Linked DNA regions of Astyanax mexicanus. The main gene of each other region encodes a partner of the protein of the gene in region 2 in a complex. Links are inferred from orthologs where the notes say so. Each region holds a gene or a part of one and is shown on either strand. Other genes may lie near its edges. The genes, in order: cdk9 and ccnt1.

Region 1 (11,858 bases), on a different chromosome or scaffold from region 2:
ACATTAGAATACCCTGTCGAACTCCGACTGGCTGGTGGTGGCTGGGTTTCTGTTCTGATTGGCTGGCTGTTGAGGCATGTGACCCCGTCGCCTGGGCGGGGCCAGGTACTCGAACATGGAGGTGTTGTGTGTGGACAGCATGTTCTTGAGGTCTGAGGGCATGGGGTCGGACCAGAAGAAGTCATGATTGAGAGCGTCGTCACTGTCGATCCTCTGCGCCGGGTCCAGAACCAGAAGTTTATCAATGAGGTCCAGAGCATACGGGTCTTTAACGTACGCCTTTAGTCTGTCCTTCACCTTCCGCTTCTGACCCTTCGGCAGCTCCATCTTCTGATACAGCTCGTACTTCTTGTCCACGCCTGGCCACACCTGAGAAAACCAAGGGAAAATTAACATTTTAGTTCTCAAGGCAAAATAACAGAAAAGGGATCATTATAAAAAAATTGTAAAAATGGATGTGTACACAGTTTCTAGACAACAAAAATAGTAAGTGGTGCTTAAGAAAATGTGGTAAGCACATTTTTAAAAGTATACCATGGTTCATCAAGACTTTAATTATACTAAATATTACTTAAAATAATATTAATTTCATTGAAGGTGGACTTTACAGAGAATAATATTCTACTTTTGAACTTTTTGAATCAACCAAAAGATAACTTCTAAGCAACTGAAGGCCTCTTTCTTGGATTGGCGCATGTTACATGTTAATTCCAACATCAGGAAAATTATTTTAGGAATAGTTTAATATTCTGTTTCTCATTTGTTTAATTGGTGTCTGTTTATCTACATTTAAATCTACTTTTAATATACAAGTGAAAACCAAATAAGGCACATTAATGTAGAATATAGAACATTTTAAAGGGTACACAATGGTAAGCACCATTGTACTGCAGATGTCATACCCAATAATATGAAAATGACCCAATAATACAGCATATTCTATTTTTCTGGGAAAATCCATAGTATGTGCAGTGATGCATAAAGTATATAAAAGTACATTTGTTATAACACTGTTCAAACTGAAGTGCAGCAAAAGTGAATAGGCTTGTTACCTCTGCAGTAATGGAGCCACACAGTTGGCTTATTAGTGTTAGCTGGTGCTGTTCAGTGTTGCCTTGCATGATGGGGCTCCTGGTCCACATCTCAGCCATGATACACCCACCACCCCACAGATCAATAGGAGGTCCGTAATCACGTTCCCCTGTACACGTGCACAAACAAACACAATCAATAGGAAATAGTTCACACAGTAACGTATTACCATAAAACAAATACCATGAAAGAGGGAAAAAATGTTTTTACAAAGGAACATGACTCAGCTTTGAAAGCAGATTCAGTCAATCACCCTAGACATTGACTAAGATTAACGTACAATTAATCTGGAAAATTTAATAAGCGCACCCACAGTGATACTTACGTTTAAGTATACATTGTTAAAAGTTCCGTTAAGTTGGAAAAATGTGGTCAATCATAAATAATCAGCAACTTGTGTGATTTGATTTATTTTTTTTTTATCAATCTATTGCCCTAGTGCCTTGTTAATTTACATTTCATTAAATTGTATAGTTTAACTTGTTTATGTAAAGGTGCAGCTCAAAAATGTAAATATTATTTTACTTTACTTTATTTTAGTAATTTAATTCAAATTGTGAATTATATAGATGTATTACACAGAGAGTAATTTTGATCTATTTTAAGAATTTATTTATTTTATTGTTGATGATTATGGCTTACGACTAATGAAAACCCAAACAGAAAATTACAATATTACATAAGATTAATTGGTACTTTTGGCAGTGTGGGCAGTGTGCCAAGTCCGCATCACTATAAAAGTTGTCAGCAAAGGGAAGCATGATGTGCTGTAAGATTTTCCAGGAAAACACTTAACTAAATTTGGACTTGATGCTATTTGGACTTTGGACAGTAGTTTCAAATTTTGAACTGAATTACTGAATAAAGTAATTTTTCAATTATATTCTAAATTTTTTCGATGCACCTGTAGGTTTCACACATTTTAAAGCAAATAAAAATGTTGGCTTTGTATTATTTAGTAGGAATTAGACTGATGACAGTTCATGGCTGTAAAGAGTGTGCTACAGAATTAGCTACTGGGAACCTTAAAACCCTTTAGTTCCTCACACTTTCATATTAGTTACTGAATAATTCACTGAATAATACACCTTAATCTTACCCAGCAGTAGCTCAGGGGGTCTATACCACAGGGTGACCACTCTGTTGGTGTACCGGTTTCCCTGGCTGTTCTTCGCCAGACTGAATGCCCGGGCTAGTCCAAAATCAGCCAGTTTTAGAATGCCGTCCCTCGTAATCAGAACGTTCGCTGCCTTCATATCTCTGTGCAAGATCTGATCAGGCAGACAAATAAAACATGGTTAAAACCAAACAACTAATCAACTGTGACACATATAAAGTATAAAATGTTTGTAAAATTTTGTAAAAGGATCATGGTCGTGTACACTGTACGCACCTTGTTTCTGTGGATGTAGTAAAGACCATTCAGGAGCATCTGCATGACCTTCTTGATCTCAGCCAGGGTGAACTTAACGTTAGCGTTGCTGAGTAAGCCGGCCAGATCGTGCTCACAGAAATCAAACACAAGGTAGATGCTGCCCTTATACCGGTTAAACTGTGTGGCTAAAAGACAGACAAAAAAACAGAAAGATTTAACAGAGGCCAGTTAGAGTTTAATAAGCTTTAGGTCAAAGAAAACACAGCAGTCCATGGAGCTGCACCACCAATGATCTTAGCGGTACTACTAGAAATTTCTAGTTAGCCTATGGTTACAATAACACTTCACTTAAAAGTTATTTGCCAGTGCAAAATACAGTGCAACAGTGCAGCATACCACTGCTGTCCAAACATGTATATCCATAACTGTCTTTTTTTTTGGTCACAGCAGTTGTCCTTCACAGCATGTCCTAATTTCATAATTAATAGATCAATGAAAATGCTCCAAATTGAGTTTTTACATCAACTTCTATTAAAACTTCAAACATTTTTCTTGCTTCAGATTCTTTAAACAGCAACATTAACAAAATCTGCAAGATTAATTAAATTTGTGCCTACTTACCTTTGGTTCTGCAGATCTCAATGAGGTTCACAACGTTCTCGTGCTTCAACAGCTGCAGAATCTTGATTTCCCTCAGAGCTGTGATGGGAAACTGTAAGAAGTAGTAAATTAGAATAAAATCCAGAATAAAACAATAACTCCAACAAAAAAATGAGCTCAAGTATAATATCTTAAATAAACTTCCAGAGGAACAAGCCCAATCTTGTAAATGTTAACATAAAGCTAAGCTCTCTATACGTACCCCTTCTTTCTCGTTCTCCATGAGCACCTTTTTCAGAGCCACCTTCTTTCCAGTCTGTCGGTGTTTGGCTTTAAACACCTCCCTACAGAGAAGGACCAACAAAGAGAACAGGTGAAAGAGGGTCGGAGCTTTCAGAACATGTTGTACCACAGTGTTCTCCAACCCAACTCTGACTCCAACCAGACAAGCAGACTAACATATGCACAGGACCGTGACCCCAGAAAAGAACACAGTGGGTAAATTAATGGTTATTTTGCAGTGTTTTTTTTTTTGTACTCACAAAATCAATAAAAGGAGTTCTGTTTTACACTAGCTACTTAGCAAGTAACTATCAAGATTGGTACACCATGCTATTGTCAGGTTTCATCATATACTAATAATTTTATTTGCTCATCTAATGTGCTTAGGGATTGCATAAAATATATTTATAAATATCTATTTATTTATTGACTATGGGGAATGAGATTTACTGCAGCAAAAGAAGATTGAAACAATGGTAATTGTTCCATTTCTGAAATATAACAGCGTTGATTTGTGCATTTTAGGTGGATTCAACATTAGCAAAACATTATGACTTAAATAACAATACTTTAAAAATGGGCATTATGTAATGACTAGTTAGCTAAAAAAAAGTGAAAGAAAAAAGAAAATGCAAGGCAAATAAATGTTACATTTGTTTATACAGCTCTGGAAAAAATTATAAAACTTCAGTTTCTGAATCCGTTTCTTGGATTTTGCTATTTATAGGTATATTTGTTTGAGTAAAATGAACATTGTTGTTTTATTATATAAACTATGGACAACATTTCTCCCAAATTCCAAATAACAATAATGTCACTTAGAGCCTTTACTTGCAGAAAATGAGAAATGGTCAAATATACAAAAAGTTGCAGAGCTTTCAGACCTCAAATAATGCAAAGAAAAGTTCATATTAAAAAGTTTTAAGAGTTTAGAAATCAATATTTGGTGGTTTAATCACAGTTTTCAAGCATCTTGGCTTGTTCTCCTCCACCAGTCTTACACACTGCTTTTGGATAACTTTTTGCCACTCCTGGTGCAAAAATTAAGCAGTTCAGCTTGGTTTGATGGCTTGTGATTATATGTATATATATATATATATATATATACATATATATATATACACACACACACACACACACACACACGAGTAATTTGGAATGTCGGCATCAGCCCAGAATGTCCACACTTCTGAATCAATCAATTTTTTTTTATAATTATATGAAGGTAACATTTCACCTGAAACCACTGTAAAAGTTTATAAGTCATCAACATTAAAAGATGTAATCCCACCAAATATGAACGTTGAATCAGTGATATTTGGCATCTGGATTCCAGTGTATCCACAACAATAACGTTAACAATAAGTGCGTTGAACGCAGCAGTTTGAGAGCCAATGAAGCTAACTAACGGTTTTGTGATTTTCAGACTACTCTAACGAATAATTAAATAAAAGGAAATAAACATCGCTCCAGGCAGACACTGCTGTGAGGATTACTTAAGTGAGGTCAAGACTTCACCTCACCCGATACTCAGTCAGGAATACTGTCTGGAGCTCCTTCAGGCCGCATCTCAAAACTGGTTTAAACTCCTCCTGCCCTCGTCTGGAAATACCCACGGTACTAACAGCCTATAGGTTTATGTTTATCTACACATACACATACAGTTGAAGTAGCTAAATGTATTTATCAGAAAGGGTTACCACATATTTAAAAAACACAAGATAGACAGATAACCATAGACTATAGTTAGATAACCAGAGAGATAGACACACAGTAGCTACAGTAGCCGCTTGTTCGTTAGCTAGGTTAGCACTGCCTGTGGCTAACAGTCTCAGTCCGCAGATCAGACTTCATACAGCAGGGTTCCTCCTCTAATCTAACACCCACACCCCGAAGAAATAGCGAGCAGAGCCACCCCGCTTACCCGAAGGTTCCCTGTCCGATCTTGGCGAGTTTCTCGTATTTGGAGAACTCGTCACAGAAGGGAAACTCCACTCCGTCGTAGTATTTGGACATGATGGCGGTCTCCCGGTCCGGCCTGAAACACACACACATCACACCCAGAATCAAACCAGTCCTACACACCGAGCCGCGGGAGGAGCGGAGCCGCCCGGCCGCGGGGACTCGCTCCAACACCCGGAAAACATCAACAAACAAAATCAACCCTTTAATATGATAAAATAATGAATAAATCCATACTTATCAGCCCCGCCGGAGCCTCCGCTCTTCTCTCGCTGCATCTTCGCTGCTCTACAGGGGGAAACTCGCTCATTCACAGCAACTTTAACACAGCGCCGCTCACAGGCTGGAGGACTGACTGCACTCACTCTGCAATAAGCATTTATTAACAATGTCTCATGTTCACTTCACTAAAAGAACGATTAATAATCTTATTAATTCAGCTTCAGTTATTGAAATCAATATAAATGGATAACGATAATAGATCATAGAAATGTGGTCAGTGTAGCGTTTATTACTTTTTTACCGTTTAAGGTTAAATGCAAAAATAGAAAACTGGATGTAAAAACTCATGATTTCATTTTTTTTTGTATAGTGTAGTATACAAGAAAAAGGTTTTATAATTTTTTCCAATTTTATTTATTTTATTTTTTTTTTCATCTCTGCCCCTCACAATCGCAACTTCAGAAAAAAATGATTTTTTTTTTCAATTTTTGCATTTTGCAAATTGAATTATTGGAGTTGTGTTACAAGATACAAAAATGGACAAATTTGAAAAGAGTTGAGAGAACATTTAACTTTTAATTTTTCTTGAAATTCTGAAATGAAAAACATGATAATTGAAAAATTGGATAAAAATCCATTTGTTCTTCATTTCTAAATAAGCTTGATACAGTCAGACAATTAAACTGCTAAACGTTACACTGACCATGGATGAAAACTTACTTTTTGTACACTGCACTACATGTAAAAATAAAAATAAAAATAAATAAAATAATTAGTTTTTACATCCAATTTTCTATTTTGGTATTTAACCTCAAAAGGTCCGAAAATAAATTAATAAACGTTACACTGACCAAATGTAACCCTCGAAGCATATGTTTCTTAGTAACTCCAATTCTGATTCTGAGGGGTGTTAAAAAGTCAGGTTACAAGGTTAAGGTAAAACTCTCTTTTATTTTAGACCGAACATCTATGGACAATACTATTAGATTAGACTGCTAACACTCATGTCTCCCTTTCCCTCTGTGTGCGCGTGAGTTAGCTCATCCACCTTAAATGGTACCGTAATCAGATTACGGCGCCCGAGACACTAGCATGTAATAGCAGCAACTGCTGCACAATTTAAGGTGGAATGGATCATTCAGATAAGCAGTAAACTTTATCTAGCTAAGTTTGTCTCTTGTTTACTGTAACCCAGCCTCGCTTTCTTTTAAGAAGTATAACAAGTTAACCCTGCTAAGGCTGCTTAGCACTTCACCCGTGTAACATATATATATATATATATATATATATATATATATATATATATATCAGTCTAAAAGAGCAGAAGATATATATATATTGTAGCGTGGAAGAGGAATAAGGACTCGAGAGATTCATTGCAAGGTCTCAACAGCTCTTTATTAACAGGCTTGCCACTCACTTATAGCCTTTAACAAGGCTAGGAGAGCGAAACCCATCTGCAACCACAGCTCAAACAGCCCTGAGGCCACCAACCCAGCTATCCAACACAAAGATGGTAAGTCCCCTTAACCCACTCAAAACATACCCCCATAATGCCCCGCTGGCCCCGGATTACCATACCCCGCCCCCACAGGCACACTAAAAGCTGGCACACACACACAGACGCCACAATATATATATATATATATATATATATATATATATATATATATATATATATATATATATATATATATATATATATATATACACACACTGTAGGTGATGTAGAACAGTTGAAGAATACAGTATGCAGAGAGTGGATATCTGAGGTAAATTACGATTAGCCAAGACCTGTAGGTAAATTACTAGTTTTCTGCATCTCACCTAATCCTTCCAATCACTTTGTTATAGTCACTGAATGTCCCCCCCCATTTTCTTTTTCAGTGTCTGTTACCTTAAAAGTATATTTTTGGATAATATTAAATATCTGTCTGCTATATCCTAAAGTACTCATTGAACATGCACATTCTAAGAGACAAATGAAACACTCATATCACTAATTGAGTTTTATTTAAAAAATAATCTTTCAGGGGTGTTTCTGCAAAAAAGGAGAGCTACCTTAAGACAGCAGAAATTTTATTGGATATGTACATTAAATGAACATTTAATATAAGTCTGACTATAGCATTTGTTCATACTCCAGTCGTTATATTTTTGGCTTAATCCTTTTTTCTATAGGAGCTTGTACTGTATATCCAGCTTCAGTGTTCTTTTGTCCAATGCTCGTACAGTGTCTGTTCCAACCTATAAAAAGATTTTCATTATTCATTGGTGGGAGATGTATTCAAGAACATACAAACACTGTATTCACCTCAGAGGTCACCCTACTATGCCTACATGTGGAGGGTCCAGTTTGGAAGGAATGCTCTGTATGTTCTGTGTATTCAGTAGGACATAAATACATTAGCTATTTCAATACAAATAACACTGAATTTGTAGTTGACCATTTTACCTCTGAAGGCCTCTCAGAGCACCCAGAGATAGTATCCTCATCATGGTCATCTCCATCATGATCCTGATCAGCAGCAGCATCCTGATTGGTAATCGGGCAAATTGGATTCTTTGAAACATTTACAACAGACCCTTATAAATCACTGGTTGTTTGGACCAGCAATCAACCGTGCCCACATTTTTAAAATTAGTTTAATTAAAATTTTATTTAAAGAATTACTGCACACTTTCTATAAATCCTATAAACTTCATTTTACTTCTTAAACATTACTATGTTCATCTTCTGTATGATATTTAACTGAAATTGCAGATCTGAACCAACAATGATTTATAAAGAAAAATCATAAAACTTTTTAGGGTGCCAAAAATGTTTTTATACCGTTCAGGTCCATTGGAACACATAAGGTTCTCCACCAATGGAAAGGTGGCGATCCATGGAGAACACACACACACACACACACACAAATAAGAGGTCTTCTTCAGATCGCACTTAGTCTGGAACCTTCCCCTCGACCGTACTGCCATGGGTGACCCTACCAGGAACCTAAGTTCCAGACGGCATCGCTCTCAGGTTCAATGGAACACACAAGATTCTCCACCAACGGCAAGGTGGCGATCCATGGAGAACACACATTCACACCCATTCATACACACACACACGCAAATACACATACAGATCCAAAAACATTAAAATACTTAAAGAAACACATTCCTACATCACAAAAACACATGCAGACATGTATACATATGCATACGCACACAAACACACATGCTTACATGCACAGACACAAAAACACACATACACAAATATATACGCACACAAACACACACATGCATATACACACAATTCAAAACACACATACATACCAAACACATTTGTGCACATACATATACACAGAAACACACATAAATACATGCATATACATACAAAAAGACATGCACACCTACACACGCACATACGTATGCAAACACACATACATACGTACACACGTGCACATAAGAGGTCTTCTTCAGATCGCACTTAGTCTGGAACCTCCCCCTCGACAGTACCGCCATGGGTGACTGGGGGAAACAGAGACAGAGACACAGAAATAAAGGGGAACTGTTGTACACCTTTACTGTTGTAGACAATTTACTAATAATTTCATTGCATAATGCTTGTCAAAAATTTACATAATTGTATACGTAATATATTGTAAAATGCTTATCAATATTGCTGTGACTGCAGGAATGATGTCTAAAGTGTTTTGGACTAAATTATACCATGAATTAACATAATTATTATTAAATGAGATACAGTAAATGGGATATACAGGGAAGCTTCTATAGCTGACAGCAGGATTTAGTCCAAACCCTTACCTGTGCAGCTGGCACTGGCTCCAGTTCAGGCTTTGTGTCCTGAAGGTCCAGCCGGTGAGAGGGATCTGCCTCTTCTACCTGCACCAGGACTCGGCGAGGAGACCTGAAACGACACACAAAGGAGCTCCAAAAGTTGGTGACAGGGCGTTTCAGGGATCTGCGCTGTGTGTTATTGTTAGGTGACAGTGCAGTGTCTCCCTGGCTGGATGGCTCCGGATGAGAGGTGGTGGTGAGGTCTGGAGCTGGAGCTTCTTCGCACTGTCAATGACAAAAACAAAACAATAGGAGATTATTATTCCTTTCACACACCTTTCTCACGGCTTCTTATAACAGGTTTCATAATGAATTGTAGATCTTTAATCATTTTAAGATAGTAGAGAGGCAAAGATTATTTAGGATTAACTGCAAACTCTTACCTGTGCAACTGGACCTGGGATATCAGGCTCGGTAGAGTCCAGCCTGTGAGCGGGGGCTGCCACCAGAACACTCCCAACACGCCGCCTGGGACAGGAAAGCTATGGAGGGGAAGATGAAGGTTTTAAAGACACATATTAACAGATATTCAACAGATTTAAGGTGGTATTTGGTTTTGAAAGCAGCTTTATGACTGTGATGCTTCTCTGCATCTTAATTAATTGTTCATTGTGCTTTTCTCACCTTCTCAATGAGGGCCTTCAGCTTCCCCTCGAGGAACTCGAGCTGAACCCTCCTGAGCTCCGTCCAGGGGTCTGGCTCCTCCTGAATACAACTCAGGATTATATACACTGCAATATAAACTAAACACGCTGCATTTTTAGACAAATCAACAATAACAGTCTGGTAGAGACTCACGCAAAAAGGCAGGAGAGTGGTAGAGTCGCGTGCGCAGTGAGACTCCACCTACAAAAAAAATTCCAACCATTTTTAAAACCAATAATCAACATATGTTGACATATACAAGCATTTACAGTGTGTAAAATGTGATTGTGATGTTTATCTGCATCTTAATTAATTATTCATTGTGCTTTACTGACCTTCTCAATGAGGGCCCTCAGCTTCCCCTCGAGGAACTCATGCTGGACCCTCCTGAGCTCCGTCCAGGGGTCTGGACCCTCACCCTGCCACTGCAAACAGGCAGCCCTCAGCTCCTCAGTGCCCTTCAGAAACATGGGGATAAAAACACAATTGAGGATTATATCCACTGCAGTATAAACTAAACAGGCTGCATTTTAAGGCAGATTAAAAATAAGTTTGAAAGAGATTTACACAAAAAGGCAGCAGAATGAAGGGGTCTCCTGGACCACCAGAAGCCCCCTGCAATAGAAATACATGCAATATACTTTACAATCATTTTAAAAAATAGGACATAAAAATATATACACGAATTTACTGTCCCTGCTAATGCTGATATTGTGAGCAGCTCAGTGAACATTTTAGAGCTTATTTGATGATATTTGTGAGCACATATACCACCCTTTATAGCACCCAAGCAAGGAACCCTTTCCAGACTGATACAGTTATTAAATAAAATGCTAATGTTATGCTTACTAGGTTAGGCTAGCTACTCATCACTTCCTCACACTCCGCCTGCAGAACTAACAGCTGCTGTAATTTATGCTGCTCCACCTCTAGTTTTATCTCTTCACTATATATTTGGTGTAAAATTAGATAATTGTTTATTAACCTCCAGGCGATGCTCTTCGCTACGCCAAAACTCCATGTCGGACCGCAGGGTGTCAGTAAACCCTCACCGGCCTCCGACACCTGAAAAACAAACTTATAAGATTAATAACAGACAATACAGACAATATAACAATAATATAATAAGTAAAACACAATACAATTAATAAAACAGTAAATATGAAATAATAAAAGGGTTTGCTCTCGAAAAATCGCTGAATCTCCTCCGGGAAAACCTGCTGCTGCTGCTGCTGGTCTAGAGTTTACGAACTCTGTAAACAAAACAAGCAATCTTCACTGAACGCTGTCGCGCGCCGCGTCACTTCTGTAGCCATAGAAACGCGTATTTTATATATTTATTTTTAAATGCCATGAGTGTCTGACTGTAAAATATTTATATTTATAGCACAGTTATTAATACAGTTTTCTCTATTATTGCGCAATTAGATGTTGTGGCGAACCCTGGTGGCAAAGAACATTAAATTAATTCTAATTTTTAAACGTGTCTGACTGTAAAAGATTAATATTTATAACATCGTTATTAGTACATTATCTTAATTATAGTGCGATTATATGTTGTGGTGAACCCTGAAGGCAAAAAACATTAAATTACGCAGAATTTTACTTGCATTACAAGTATATTAATAATAATAATAATAATAATAATAATAATAATAATAATAATAATAATAATAAAAATAATAACAATAATAATAACAATAATAATGATTATTATTATTGTTATTATTATTATTATACAAATATCAGTGTTGTTGACAATAATAATAACATCAGCGTTGATAATAATAATAATAACAACAACAATAATAATAACAATAATAATAATTTATCA
Region 2 (12,682 bases):
TTATGGATTTTCACAGCCAGGCCTTCTCCCTGTACACTGGTCACGTCAACAGCCACCTATAAAATAATTTTAGAAAATTAGATAAAGCCTATTTTTTGCATGTGTTTTCTGCATCAGTTAAATACAGTTAAGTACTTCTAAATAAAGGCAGGTTAAACATATCTGAATAAAACTTGTATTTGCAACTGAAATATCCCTATAATTATAATTCTATAACTATTTTTTACTCACTTGAGGGGGTCGTACGAACACTGGGTTATTCCACTCCGAGAAGAGAGCAGAAAGTGAACCAGGACCCTGGAGCTCATCTTGAAAAGAACGAGAGAAGCACAGTCAATAGTATAAGCAGAATAATGAGAGTGTGAGGATGTTAAACCTGCTCTGACTGGTGACATGCATTACCTCTGCAGCCTACGCTGGAAGCTAAGGCTCTTATTGCGCTGGGTTTGGGGAGAAAGGGCAGTACAATATCTGTCTGAAACGGGTAGCACCTGTACTCAAACCCTACAGACAAAAAAACACTGATTAAAACCTCAGTTTTCTAAATGTGGAATTCTCCAGTATTGATGCCTTAATTGACTTAATTGGCTGAAATGATCTGGCTTAAAGACTTGTCTTTTGCTAATGTTTATTAGGGCTGTACGATTAGTCGATATAATCGACAATGTTGATTATTTAAATTTGTCGACTAAAAATTTCATTGTCGACTAATCGTTAATTTGTAAAAGTACCGCATTACAAAAAGTGCTGGGGACAGAAGCGCAAAGGGGGATAAATGAGGGTAAATGGCTCAAACTCACACAGTTTACACTCAATTTAGTCTGTGTCTCCAAAAGTGCCCAAACGCAAATTTAAACAAAATCTACACATTTAAATGCCTTTAAAACCTCATGATCAGCTGTTTCTATTGTTTTTAGAGATTGAGGACAATACCTTTTTAGAATGCATTTTCTTTTTACCTAAAACAGAAAATACATATTTAAATAAATCTAAATAACATCCTGCTTAAACAGTGAAGAAAATATTCTTTTTAACACTTTTAATACAAAGCCTAGAATATTAACTTGTAGGCTCAGGTTCCAGTGTTAAATCCCCTGGGGAGTTTTTATTCTAAATTGGCTTAACTTCTTATTAAAATCTTTAAAAAAAATCAAATAAATACCTGCTGTATTTTATTATTATCACTCTTCTCTGGATGTACAGTAGAAAGAGTTGGTCTAAGTTGACATCAGCAGAACCCTGACCAATCACAAGGCTAATTCTATAACTCCGCCCGCACTTCGAGTCTGAGCAACCGGAACTGTGATGCTGACGTACTGTCGCTTAGCAACCATCTTAGTGCGCTAACTAGCAAGCTATCCAAATATTTACCAAGTAATCTGTCTCATCTGTCTTTATCTTATTTTGTCTTAATGTTAAGAAGCAACTGTTCGCCAGTGATAAAACAGCTCTCAATCACACAGTTCTCAGAAACATTTAAAGTGCAATAGTCCTACCTGTTTTAGAAACAACGCTGACCGCCATATTGGTGACATCTTTGGAGCAGGGTACGGGATTCTCCTCCAGTGATGGAGCTTCGTATGTACTGAGTCCGGTCACCTGATTGATGTAGACCAACTTTCCCAGAGAGTCGTCGTAATGTGTCCTCCAGTCACTCGACACCGGGGCCGGCACATCACTTTCATCGCCCGGACTTTCGTCTGGAGCCTGGACCTCATTTCCTGTTTGGGTGGGCAGAGGCTCATGTTGTGATGCAGGGTTAATTACGTGTCCTGAGGGAATAGCTGGCTCTGAGGAAGTCATAAGTTCAGAAACTCTTTTTAGAGCGTCTCCAGCTGATGGGTTAGGTAAATTGGGAACAGTGAATTTGTGGGTGGGTTCATTTGGATCATTTGTCTCAGTCATTTGTTTTGAAGAACCGTCAGTGTCCTCTGAAGTTTTAAACTGAGACAGAGAGTCTTCAAACGTCTCCTCAGAGTCTGCTGCACGTTGAGCATGTTGGGTTACAGAGGTAGTTTCTTCATTTCTGGTATCATCAAAGGTTCCTTCTTCATAAGGTGTTTTCTCCTTCTGAACTATCTTGTCGCATTTTAAGTGCGAGAGCTTTGCAGCTAATGATATTTTAGTCCTTGAGCTGGCTGATGTTGAACATTTCGTTTGGCTGTAAGCAGAAAGTGTAAGCATACTGTCTTTTTTGATTAAGAAGTTCTCAGAATGAGTCTTTTCAGTCTTTTCGACTTGTTCAGGCTCAAAGATGAGTGAACTGACGCCGGTACCTTGTAAAGCAGGCAATGCAGGACCTTCAGAAGATAATACACAGTCTGAAGGTTGTAAAGCATTAGCGATTTGTGTTTCCACAGACTGACGTTCGGAAGATTTTCCGTACATCCTCTTGAACTTGTCAAGAGATCCCGTTTCAAAAGCCAGTGTTAATTTGCGACGTGGCGCGACCTTTGCCATTTTGGGCCCAACGCCACTTTCTAAGCACAAACTCTGAGTTTGGAGCAAGGACAGTTTTCTCTTTGGTGCACAGCAGATGTTAGGCTCTGCAAATCTTCTCAAACTGTCCTGAGCTTCGTTAGGACCAATTACGGCAACCTTGCTTTGCGTAAATTCCTGATGTGTCATTGTACTGTTGTTGCTGAGGGTATCAATAAGTTGCAGGTCATGGACACTCGTTTCAAAGTCTTGCGAATTCCCGTAATCTTCGAGATCTCTCTGCAGCGAAGGTTTTTCAACACTCTGAACTTCTTTACTTTCTGCCTCTGCTTCTGAACCTGCCGCAGACTCTGCATTTGAGGACCCTCTGTCAAAAATTTGGTCGAAACTTAGATTTTGGACACTTTCCGTTTGATCACCTGAGTTAACCTGAGTCATATTTCCGTTTAAGTCACTTTCGCACACTGTCGACTCTTTGTCCCGCGACTGTGCCGTCGCTTTACTGCATGGGCTACTACTGCCTGTTGGGTCGCTAAAAACACTCGCAAAGGTTTGGGCGTCACTCACAGAAAATTCTGAGACCAAGTTTTCCTTTGTGAGAAACGATTTCACGCCTTCCTCGACGCAGAAGAGGACAGCGTCCCAATCTCTGAACTCGATAAGACTCTTTGCCGGCTCCAGGCAAACATCATACTCAGAGTAGGGGCACTTAAGGTTGATGACATAAACGCCGTGTGAATCGGCGCCTCCTCTTTGCTTGGGGCTGGAGGTGACAGCAGAGGCATTGGGACTGTTGTTTTGGTTGCTAGAGCTGCTCAGTTTCCTGAGCAGGCAGTTGAGTAGTTTGTGAAGGCGTGTTTTCAGCACGAGTCTGCTGTTTACGAACAAAAACTGCAGGCTGTTTTTGTAATGACCCTCGCGCCCAATCGATCCAGTCATCTCAAACTGTCCGTGAGTGAAGTTCACCTCTCTGAGCTTCTGAGCTCTTCCCAATCCATGGATCTGAACAAACCTGTAGTAGGTATTCCTGGCTTTGGGAAGCTGCACCAGCATGGTCCCCGAGCAGTCCTTCTTCACAGTGAACGATACGGACGGATGCATCAGGGATATGGCCTCCACTCTCTGCCGAAGACGCTCAACCTCCAGCACAGAGTCCATCCTCTTCCTCCTGACCGGCATGTTATGAAAGAAGTTGCAGATCAGCACCGTAGTCCCGGGTGACGGACGGGTATCCTGCACCTCGCAAACGCCTGACCCCCTGCCTTCATTAAAGGTTTTAACGAACGTTTTCACCGACGCCTTGGTCTGTGAGGATATTTCCACCAAGGTAGAAAGAGAGGCGATGCTGGCAATGGCCTCCCCTCTGAACCCATAGAATCTCAGGTCATCCAGGTCCTCCAGCGAGCTGCACTTGCTGGTGCAGTACCTCGTCCCCACCTTCTCCATGTCCTCTCGGCTCATCCCGGAGCCGTTGTCTATCACCTGAACTTTGCAGGCTTCGATGTCGATCTTCACAGCGATGCATGTCGCTCCAGCATCAATGCTGTTCAGAACAAGCTCCTCCACACACTGCTGCAGGGAGAAAACAGCGACGCCAGAACGCAGCTTCGCTTGAACTTCTTTGGAAAGAGTCCTGATCATTCTAAAAAAAAAAACACACACACACAAGAGAAACTGTGAACTATTAGAAATCTGCGAAACATAAGAGTGACCATAGTCCATGTATTTTTCATACCGGACATGTGCTCTTTTGAAATCTGCAATATACATAAATATATATGTAAATAAACACAAACTAGATACAGCTAAAAAACAAATCTGCAGGTGGAGCAGTCTAGTCTGCCTGATTACTGTTGCCACTTTTGAAGCTCCACAGTTGGCTGACATGATGATCCACCAACCACAATTATTTCCTTAAGGGATTTTTTTTTAACTATATATCGTCTATAGACATTATTGTGACATTAAATGCAACTGACATAATGATAACAGAATAACAAAGCATTACAAAGGTGCTAGCCTAGAGCGTTCAAATCAATAATTAAATTGACCACAGTAGATTAACTATATTACATTATAGAGCCTGTTAAACTGTTAAACAAGAGGACAGAAGAGTATCCAGTGAAAATGTCATATGAAAATATGTGAAGACCTGAATAAAAATAATAAAACAATTATGGAATAATATAAAACATATCAAATAATTAAATACATATTTTTTATATAAAAAAGTATTACTTATTTACTGGAACATAGCCCTTGCTGTGTCGCCCAATAACAGACGCCCAATAACAGAAGAATGCAACTGAACATTGCGTAAACACCAATATATCTATATGTAGCATTTATTGAATTGATTTTAAGTACACGTACCTTTAAATAACAGCCCCAGATTTAAGGTAAACACAACATATTGGGTTAAAAAGGAGAAATCTCCCAATTTACAGTTTAAAAGCGCCCCGCTTCTTCCCTCAGACAGCTGTAACAGCGCCCTGTTTACTGGGTTATCTTTAGGAACCACAAAAACAACGTTTTAGATGAATAAATATGTTATAAATTACAGTAAATCCAAAATAAGCGCTCGAGTTTCCCCCCATAACAACCCGCCGGTTCACCGGCTCTGTTATGATCTACAATCAGAAAGTCTCTATAGAGGAGAAGACCCACTTTACCGTGTTAACCGTACCACCGTACCGCCAGGGGGCGCTCCCGAGTGAGTCAAAAATAAATATATTTATATAGAGTAATTGAACAAAATCAAAAATTATTAATGTTTGAGAATTTTTATACTGAAACATGTACTCGGTACATTCTACAGCTTTAAAGCTCAATTACTTCATATAAATGGATTAATTTACTGAAAAAATGTACTCAGTTTCCCAACACAAACAGCTCGATTTCGCAACACAGTACATTATACAATATTTTAGAATAGCTAATATAATTATTAAACATTTTAAATTCCAGTTATATTTCTTGTCTTTTAAACTCAATTCTGAGTGGATTCATATGGAGTAATTCGGCAAAATCTGAGATTATAAATGTTTAAGTTTTTTTTTTACTTTTCTAAACACAACACAATATTAAATGTTTTAGTACTGTATAAATACATTTTATAGCTTTAAATATACAGTTATAAATCTTTTAAACTCGGTGTTCTTGCTGTAACTTCAGCATCAGTTCACTAACCAATCCTTTAGCGCACAATAGCAGTAATGCTAGCGTGTCTGTTGTCCAAAAATCGTTTACTGTAGAAAAAAGGTCGAAATAAACATTAGTTATCTTTGTGTTTTTAGTGTATTAATTCAATGTAATATCTAAAATGAAATGAATATTCTGAAGAAGGAGATAATTACTGTGTTTAATTTGTGTTTTTAGCCGTTTAGCTCTATTCACCCTCATTTATTAAACACTCTCTCGCGGGCTCCCTCTAGCGGCTCGCGGTAGTTTTGTGTTTTAACGGTGAGGTAATAAGTGACCAGTCTCTCCATTAAACCAGCTCTGCTACAACGGACGCAGCAAAGTTACGACATCCGACCAGTGAACGAATCACTCGATTGAACGGATTCATTCACTGAACCGCTATTACTGATTCACAAGTCGGTTCAAATTAACTGAATCGATTCTATATGATGTATTAAATCAAGGGAACGATTTATGGAACTGTTAGTTTTTCTATTGATCCTTTAATTTTTTTTTATGTTAATATTAAATATAGGTAAAGTTTAATACAAAGCATTCATATATAGTAAAATAATACTATACTATATAATGTTGAATTAACTTTGAATCAACACTAAATAACAATGATATATTTTTTGTGTTTCCTGAAAAACTTTAGAAAATGAGTTACGATTTTATTTAGAAATTATTTTAGGGAATATTTTTGTCAGTATTTAATGAAGGAAAAGTTGAATATAAAAGCATATATATGCAATAAAACCATAACATTTAACAAATGTTGGATCAACGTTCCATAGCTATGATATGTTTTTTGCTTTTCCTAAAAAACCTGAAAGTAGAGAGAAGAAAGTATTTTGAGGTAAAATTTGATACAAAGCATACATATATGATGAAATCATAATGTTAAATCAACGTTAAATCAACACTGCATAGTGACAATATTTTTATGTTTCCTGAAAAAATAAGTTAGACGCTTAATTTAAAAAATATTTAGCCTACATTTACAATAAAACCATAACGTTAAATCAACGTTGAATCAATACTGAACAGCGACAATATTTTTTTTGTTTGTGTTTACTGAATGTTTAACGTTTAATTAACGTTTAATCAACGTTAAATCAACGTAAAATCGCAAAAATGAATCAACTCAATGCGATGGCGATGAAACACTGAACGTTGATTCGACGTTCGTGCCGAGTCAGTTCAGTGCTTCGTGACTGAATCGGTTCGTTGGAACCGATTCGATACTGCTCGCCCCAGCCTGCGAGTCTGATGACGTCGGTGCGACGCCGACGCAGTTCCTATGACGAACCACGATTTTTAAAAAATATTGCCCTTCTCAGCAATGGCGGCTTCGTTCGTGTCTCCTCTGGAGGAAGAGAGTAGATGGTATTTTACCCGCGAACAGATCGAAAACAGCCCGTCCCGACGGGCAGGACTCGACCCCGACAAAGAGCTGTCTTACCGGCAGCAGGCGGCCAACTTCATCCAGGACATGGGGCAGCGGCTCAACCTGTATCCTTTACACCGGAGCTTTTTCCGCGCACTGGCTGCAGCTCGGGGCCGGTAAGGAGAGGGTACACCGGCTGCTGGCTCCGGCGGACCAGTGCTTCGTTCAGTAAGGAGTTAAAACGACGTTAAATCACGCTTTGAACGCCGTTTGAGGCTGAACCAGGCTGTCGTGAGTGAACCGGCGACGCTAGCTAACTAGCTTTAGCCGCCTGCAGGCTGAGACTTCTGGGATGTGTAGGCCTCGGCTGGATCTGGCTAATCCAGGTCCGGAGTGTAAAAATCCGTTCCTGGATTTCGCTGCGAGCGCCTGGGCGGCTCAGCTGCAGCCGAGCCGCCCTGGCACTCGCTGCGAAATCCAGGAACGGATTTTTAAATTCCGGACCTGGATTAGCCAGCTCCTTATAAAGAACAATAGCAGAGCTGCTGCTAAGCTAACTAATATATTGACTAAATAATCGGCATTAGAGCGTTTTAATATCCCTAAATCTAGACTTAAGAAGCTTTTCTCTTAGACAGTTAGCGACTTTTCGTTAAATATATAGGTAAAAGAGCGATTTTACTTCAGAGTTGTTCTTGTTGTTAGCTTGGTAGCTAGCTAACGTTAGCTAGCGGCTAAGACACTACAGCTATCTAGTTAGCTTGTTTTCTGCTTGTTTTGTCTATTTTAAAGCGATTTAGAAATCATTTTGTAGGTTTTTAACCTAAGTTTGCTAGCCTATTTAGATAAACAAAGGCCATACGTTGTGTTTTAATGCAGGCTTTTAGGTATCTACGCAAACCTAAGCTAAGATAGCTTTAGCTAGTTATGCAGGCAGGCGAGTTTCAGTTTCGCTATTATGCAGAGGCAAATCTTTGTTTTTAGCCATTTAGTTAGCTAGCTTTATGTTAGATATTTTTATTTTGTTCTCTTATGTGATTGTAATAAGCTAAAACATGGTGTTTTATCCTATTTTGTGATGTTTATATCATTACATTTCAGGTATCTGGGATATATTTTGTTTATGAAGCCACTAGCAATATTTAATTAGTCAAATCAAGAGGCTTTTAGTGTCATTAACGCTACATCTGAGTTCAGGTACACAGTGTAATGAAATGATGTACCTCCGGAATCATGGTGCAACATGGAACAACAAAACAATAGGAGTTCAGTTCAGTTCTGCGTGAGTGTGTTGGGTGTATGGTGGATGAAAGGGTTCAGCTCTGTCTCTGAGTGTTGAGGAGACTGAGTGCCTGGTGGAAGAAGCTGTTGCAGAGTCTGGTAGTGGAGGCTCGAATGCCCCTGTATCTTCACGGCATCAGAGCGAAGAGTCTGTGTGAGGGATGGTGGTGGCTTTGCGGATGCAGCGTGTGGTGTAGATGTCTGTGGTGGAGGAGAGGGATTTTGATACTCTTCTCGGCCAGCCTTTTTGCTAATCAGGTGCTTGAGGAAAGTTCATTTCACAAATTTAAGATGTTAAATGGCTGAACTTAGGAAAAGTGAAAACAACTTCATGCTGCTACGTTCTGAATAAGTTGCAGGAGTCTGATGGCTTGCAAAGAAAGACCAGCCAGTTGTCATTTCTTAAATTTCGGAGACTGCACAAGCACTTGGGTGGCATCCCTAGTGAGAAACAGTTTAATTAACAGACAGCGGTACAGGTACATGTTTATATTGGTGCGGTATTTTGATTGTTCCTAGAAAGATATGGTCCTTAACCTTAGATTAACAGGTCCCAACTGTCAATCAACACTGGCATCGTCTACATGCATCGTTTCTACATGGTCCAGTCCTTCACACTCTTTCATCGTAATGTAAGTGTTCTGCTTAGAGCTTGTATTTTGAGGCATGTGTAGAAAAAGTATGTTTAATTTATTTATTTAGAATATTTAAACATGTATTTCAATTCTAATGCTTAAACACTATGAAAATATGAAAAGCCAATTGCTCTTTTAAAAGGTAGTAATTCTATTTTAATTATTTTGTTGTCTGCCATGTGCTGTTGCAGGTGATCGCTCCAGCTGCACTCTTTTTAGCATCCAAGGTGGAGGAACAGCCTCGTAAGTTGGAACATGTAATCAGGGTGGCCCATGCATGTTTAAATCCTCAGGACCCTACTCTGGACAGTAGGAGTGACGTAAGTATTATATTTCTAATAGACAGTATGTTTGTGCAGCATGGATGAATGTGTGTCTGAGCTATCTTTAAGAGCTTTGTAAATGAGGCCCAAGTAACTGTGATAAGTTGTCACACGTAAAAGCCACTCTGAAAGAAAGCAGTCATTTTATTTTTTGGTGTCAGAAGTCTTGTTTGCATCTGGTATTAGCATATATATATATATATATATATATATATATATATATATATATATATATATATATATATATATATATATATATATATATTTAGAGTGAACAGATAACAAGAGTCAGTGAGACTTTGTTACAAGACAAGACCACCATGGAATTTGGCCATCGCTTTTAATTCATCCATACAGTGAACACACACATATACAATCGTGAGTACACTCAGTAGACACAGTGATATTGTGAGAACAAATGCACAGAAAGGTGGACGGTCTTTGCTGTAGTGTTGTGGGCGGTAACACAAGGCTCGACAGACCAATCACAGCAGCTGCAGTCTGCGTTGTGCAGTTATATTTCTGAGCTTGCCCACCTCGGGTATTGAACCCACAACCTTGTATTTGATGGCTAAACCCAAGGTTGCTTAATAACATTAGTATTTACACTAAACAGTCACAGATACACAGACATACCAGCAGAAGAAGAAACACAAGCAGAAGGCTCATCTGTCTCTCAGGCTGTAGATTTGCCTTTAATGTGCCGATTTTCTCTATTAGACAGAAGATTCTGTCCTTGCTGAACACTGCTTGTGATCCAGTCACTCATATTTTCATGGTAATACTTGATGTAAACAGGACAAAAATTGTGATAGTCTCAGGTTGTTTGTTGAAAGATGTTTAAGACCCATTCTTTCTAGTCTAAAGTCTGTCCAATTATTCATAAATTTGCTCAAATTTCTTCAATTATTCTTCAATCCTCCACACCCTTGTCTTTATTGATAGCTTCAATTAATCATAACTGTAGACCGGAATTAAAAATGTTCTAATGTGAAGCAGCCACTCTTGCACAGCCCTCTTTTCATCCCTCTTATTATTACTATTTTTTTTTTCTTCAAACAGGGTGTGGAACATTTTTCATATTCTTCACAGCAATTGGCTGTTAATGCTTCAGCAAACCTTTGCCGCTTCTCAGACCCCGCCATTGGCTAAGCGTGCTAATTCTTTCAGTGCGAGATTAACTCATGACTTTTCTTCCTTTCAGGGTGGATGATTTGTGTGCCTAACACTTCAGTCTGATCACTCCTGTATGTCTGATTTAGTGTGCTTTAATTGACTGTTGATGGAAGTGATTGAACTGAGGTGTTTTATTGTGAAGTATTGATTACCGTAATTTTCGGACTTAGTAAGGATTCCTATATTGAAGTGAGCAAGGGTGTTGCCATGTTTCCAAAATTTTGTCTAAGCGCGAGTTTTCAGTGAAGTTTCTCCAGCATTAAGGCTAGGTGCAGCAGCATTAGCATTAGCTGCTAAACGCAATGCTAGTGGGATGTGAATTTTACCCGAACGCGCTAGATTGAGGAACCCTGAGCTTTCCGGTAACCCAGGGCACTATCAGATAGCGGTTTGTTCCATGTAGCTAATTATAAAAAAGCCTCCCGCCTTAGTGCTGGAGAAACTTTACTGACAGCTCACCCTTATAACTCTGTACTTCAGCGGAGTGGCTTTGCTGCTTCTTTCCTAATACCTGACTGTTTAAATCAGTACATAAGGAGCACCGGATTAGAAGGTGCACTGTCAATTTTTGAGGGAATTAAAATATTTTAAGTGTGCCTTATAGTCCGAAAAATACGGTAACTAGAAACAGTTGTAGTGAGCGAGAGAAAGAGAGAGAATATGACGTGAGAGCGTGCGAGCCTGTGAGTAACCTGCCTGTCCTCTCGATCTCAGACGTACGTGCAACAATCCCAAGACCTGGTCGCTCTTGAGAGCATAATACTCCAGACCCTCGGTAAGTTTGGAACGGAGGAAGTGGGTCTATGAGTGACTTTAGAGAGAAGCACTGTGTTTAACCCTGTTTGTTCCCGTCCACAGCACAGTCCCGGGAGTCGGCCATCAGCCAGAGCATTACAAAGAAAGCTCCTTGTAACTCAGCCACTGTTGCTACTGTCTCACCTTTTTTCAGTTCTTTCTTGTTTCCATGTCAACCTGGCAGTGCTTTCCCTTTTTTTCATACCTTTTTAGAGAATTTCTGAGCCATTCTTTACACAAATGCAGATTGGCACAGAGAAAAATTGATTTGTTGGTCATCCTTTTTGTTTATTATATTTTATTATATTAACTGTAAGAGTGGCTCAAAACATTTTGCAAAGAAAGGCATTTCCCTTTTTAACTCCAAAAATATATATATATTTGTCCTGTCTAGGATCATTCGTCTGAAGAAACAGAACAGAGCACTTCGTTACAATCAGTAAAGCTAAATGGCTACAGCACAGTCCTAATTGGGCTGTGAAAAGTACAGAGACGACACAAACGGCCATGAATTCTTTAGCCAATCCAAAAGCCCAGATGTGTTGCATTTGTACTGACCTGTAAGCTTACTGTTTTTTTTATTTAGCTCATTTAAATCTCACTGTTTCTCTCTGTTTCTCTTCTGTCCTTGTCGCTCTAGCCTTTGATATCACCATTGACCATCCTCACAGTCATGTAGTCAAGTGCACTCAGCTTGTGCGAGGTAAGGTCCTCTTTATAACCAGTTTTAACTTTTCCACTGCATGGTACATACTTTGCTCAACTCTACTATTTATAGAGTTGTCGTGTTGTACTCATTACCTTGCTCACTTGGAACCAAGAGCGAGCAGGTACTAAAAAAATGTACGTGGTTCCAGTTACCTAAAAGTCGAGTTGAGTAGTGTAGGTAACATGCAGTTTAAAAGTGCCATTTGTAGCTCAGTCACATACTTGTACACCAATGCACATTATTAGTGCTGCGTTCTATTTAAACTCGGATGTTGGAATTACAGTTTTAATCGCTTTAATAGTTTGCATTTTTGCATTGTTTGTGTTTTCTGATACCAAGTCCGATCCAATATTTTGGCAATGCAGTAAAAACACACACTAACATCACACACTTTTAATATTTTGTTGGACCGCCTTTAGCTTTGATTGCATTAATTTTTCACCAAGGTCTTGTATTGATGATTTTAGAGTCTGACAGCTGCACAAAGCCTTCTCCATCCAGCACATCCCAAAGATTCTCAACGGGGTTAAGTGTGTTTTAAATCAGTGCAGTGTTTTCCCAGAAAATCTCACAGCGCTTCATGCTTCCCTCTGCTGACAACTTTTATGGAGATGCGGATTTCATTTTCCAGCAGGTTTTGGCACACTGCCCATACTGAAGTGAAATGAATTAGTCTTGTATATTACATTTTGTGTTTTCATTGGCTGGTAAGCCTTTATTATTATTTATATTAAAAAATAAATAAACGCTT

Evidence for each region.
Region 1: the proteins of ccnt1 (region 2) and cdk9 are in contact, whole or in part, in a crystal structure (PDB 3BLH), measured with the Homo sapiens proteins. The link is inferred for Astyanax mexicanus from reciprocal best matches to the Homo sapiens genes CCNT1 and CDK9. Residues at the interface, in NP_001231.2 of Homo sapiens: Arg5, Lys6, Arg11, Trp12, Arg26, Ile72, Gln73, Phe78, Phe89, Leu90, Lys93, Val94, Pro98, Lys99, Lys100, Leu101, Val134, Glu137, Ile139, Leu141, Gln142, Thr143, Gly145, Phe146, Glu147, Leu148, Thr149; in NP_001252.1 of Homo sapiens: Val8, Glu9, Cys10, Pro11, Phe12, Cys13, Lys56, Glu57, Gly58, Phe59, Ile61, Leu64, Ile67, Lys68, Gln71, Leu72, Leu81, Ile82, Glu83, Ile84, Arg86, Ile99.

The regions. Positions count from the first base shown.
Region 1 is NC_064424.1:25,619,842-25,631,699, forward strand, and holds the start of cdk9 (cyclin-dependent kinase 9), read right to left. Parts: upstream 5,675-11,858; 5' UTR 5,590-5,674; coding exon 5,549-5,589; intron 5,388-5,548; coding exon 5,274-5,387; intron 3,412-5,273; coding exon 3,330-3,411; intron 3,180-3,329; coding exon 3,089-3,179; intron 2,653-3,088; coding exon 2,486-2,652; intron 2,364-2,485; coding exon 2,192-2,363; intron 1,202-2,191; coding exon 1,053-1,201; intron 370-1,052; coding exon 4-369; 3' UTR 1-3. UniProt on the Homo sapiens protein: Protein kinase involved in the regulation of transcription.
Region 2 is NC_064420.1:1,461,754-1,474,435, reverse strand, and holds the start of ccnt1 (cyclin-T1), read left to right. Parts: upstream 1-6,799; 5' UTR 6,800-6,967; coding exon 6,968-7,137; intron 7,138-8,843; coding exon 8,844-8,925; intron 8,926-9,119; coding exon 9,120-9,248; intron 9,249-11,141; coding exon 11,142-11,202; intron 11,203-11,862; coding exon 11,863-11,925; intron 11,926-12,682. Other genes in the region: DNA mismatch repair protein Mlh3, read right to left, coding at 1-56, 232-308, 403-504, 1,497-4,080. UniProt on the Homo sapiens protein: Regulatory subunit of the cyclin-dependent kinase pair (CDK9/cyclin-T1) complex, also called positive transcription elongation factor B (P-TEFb), which facilitates the transition from abortive to productive elongation by phosphorylating the CTD (C-terminal domain) of the large subunit of RNA polymerase II (RNA Pol II).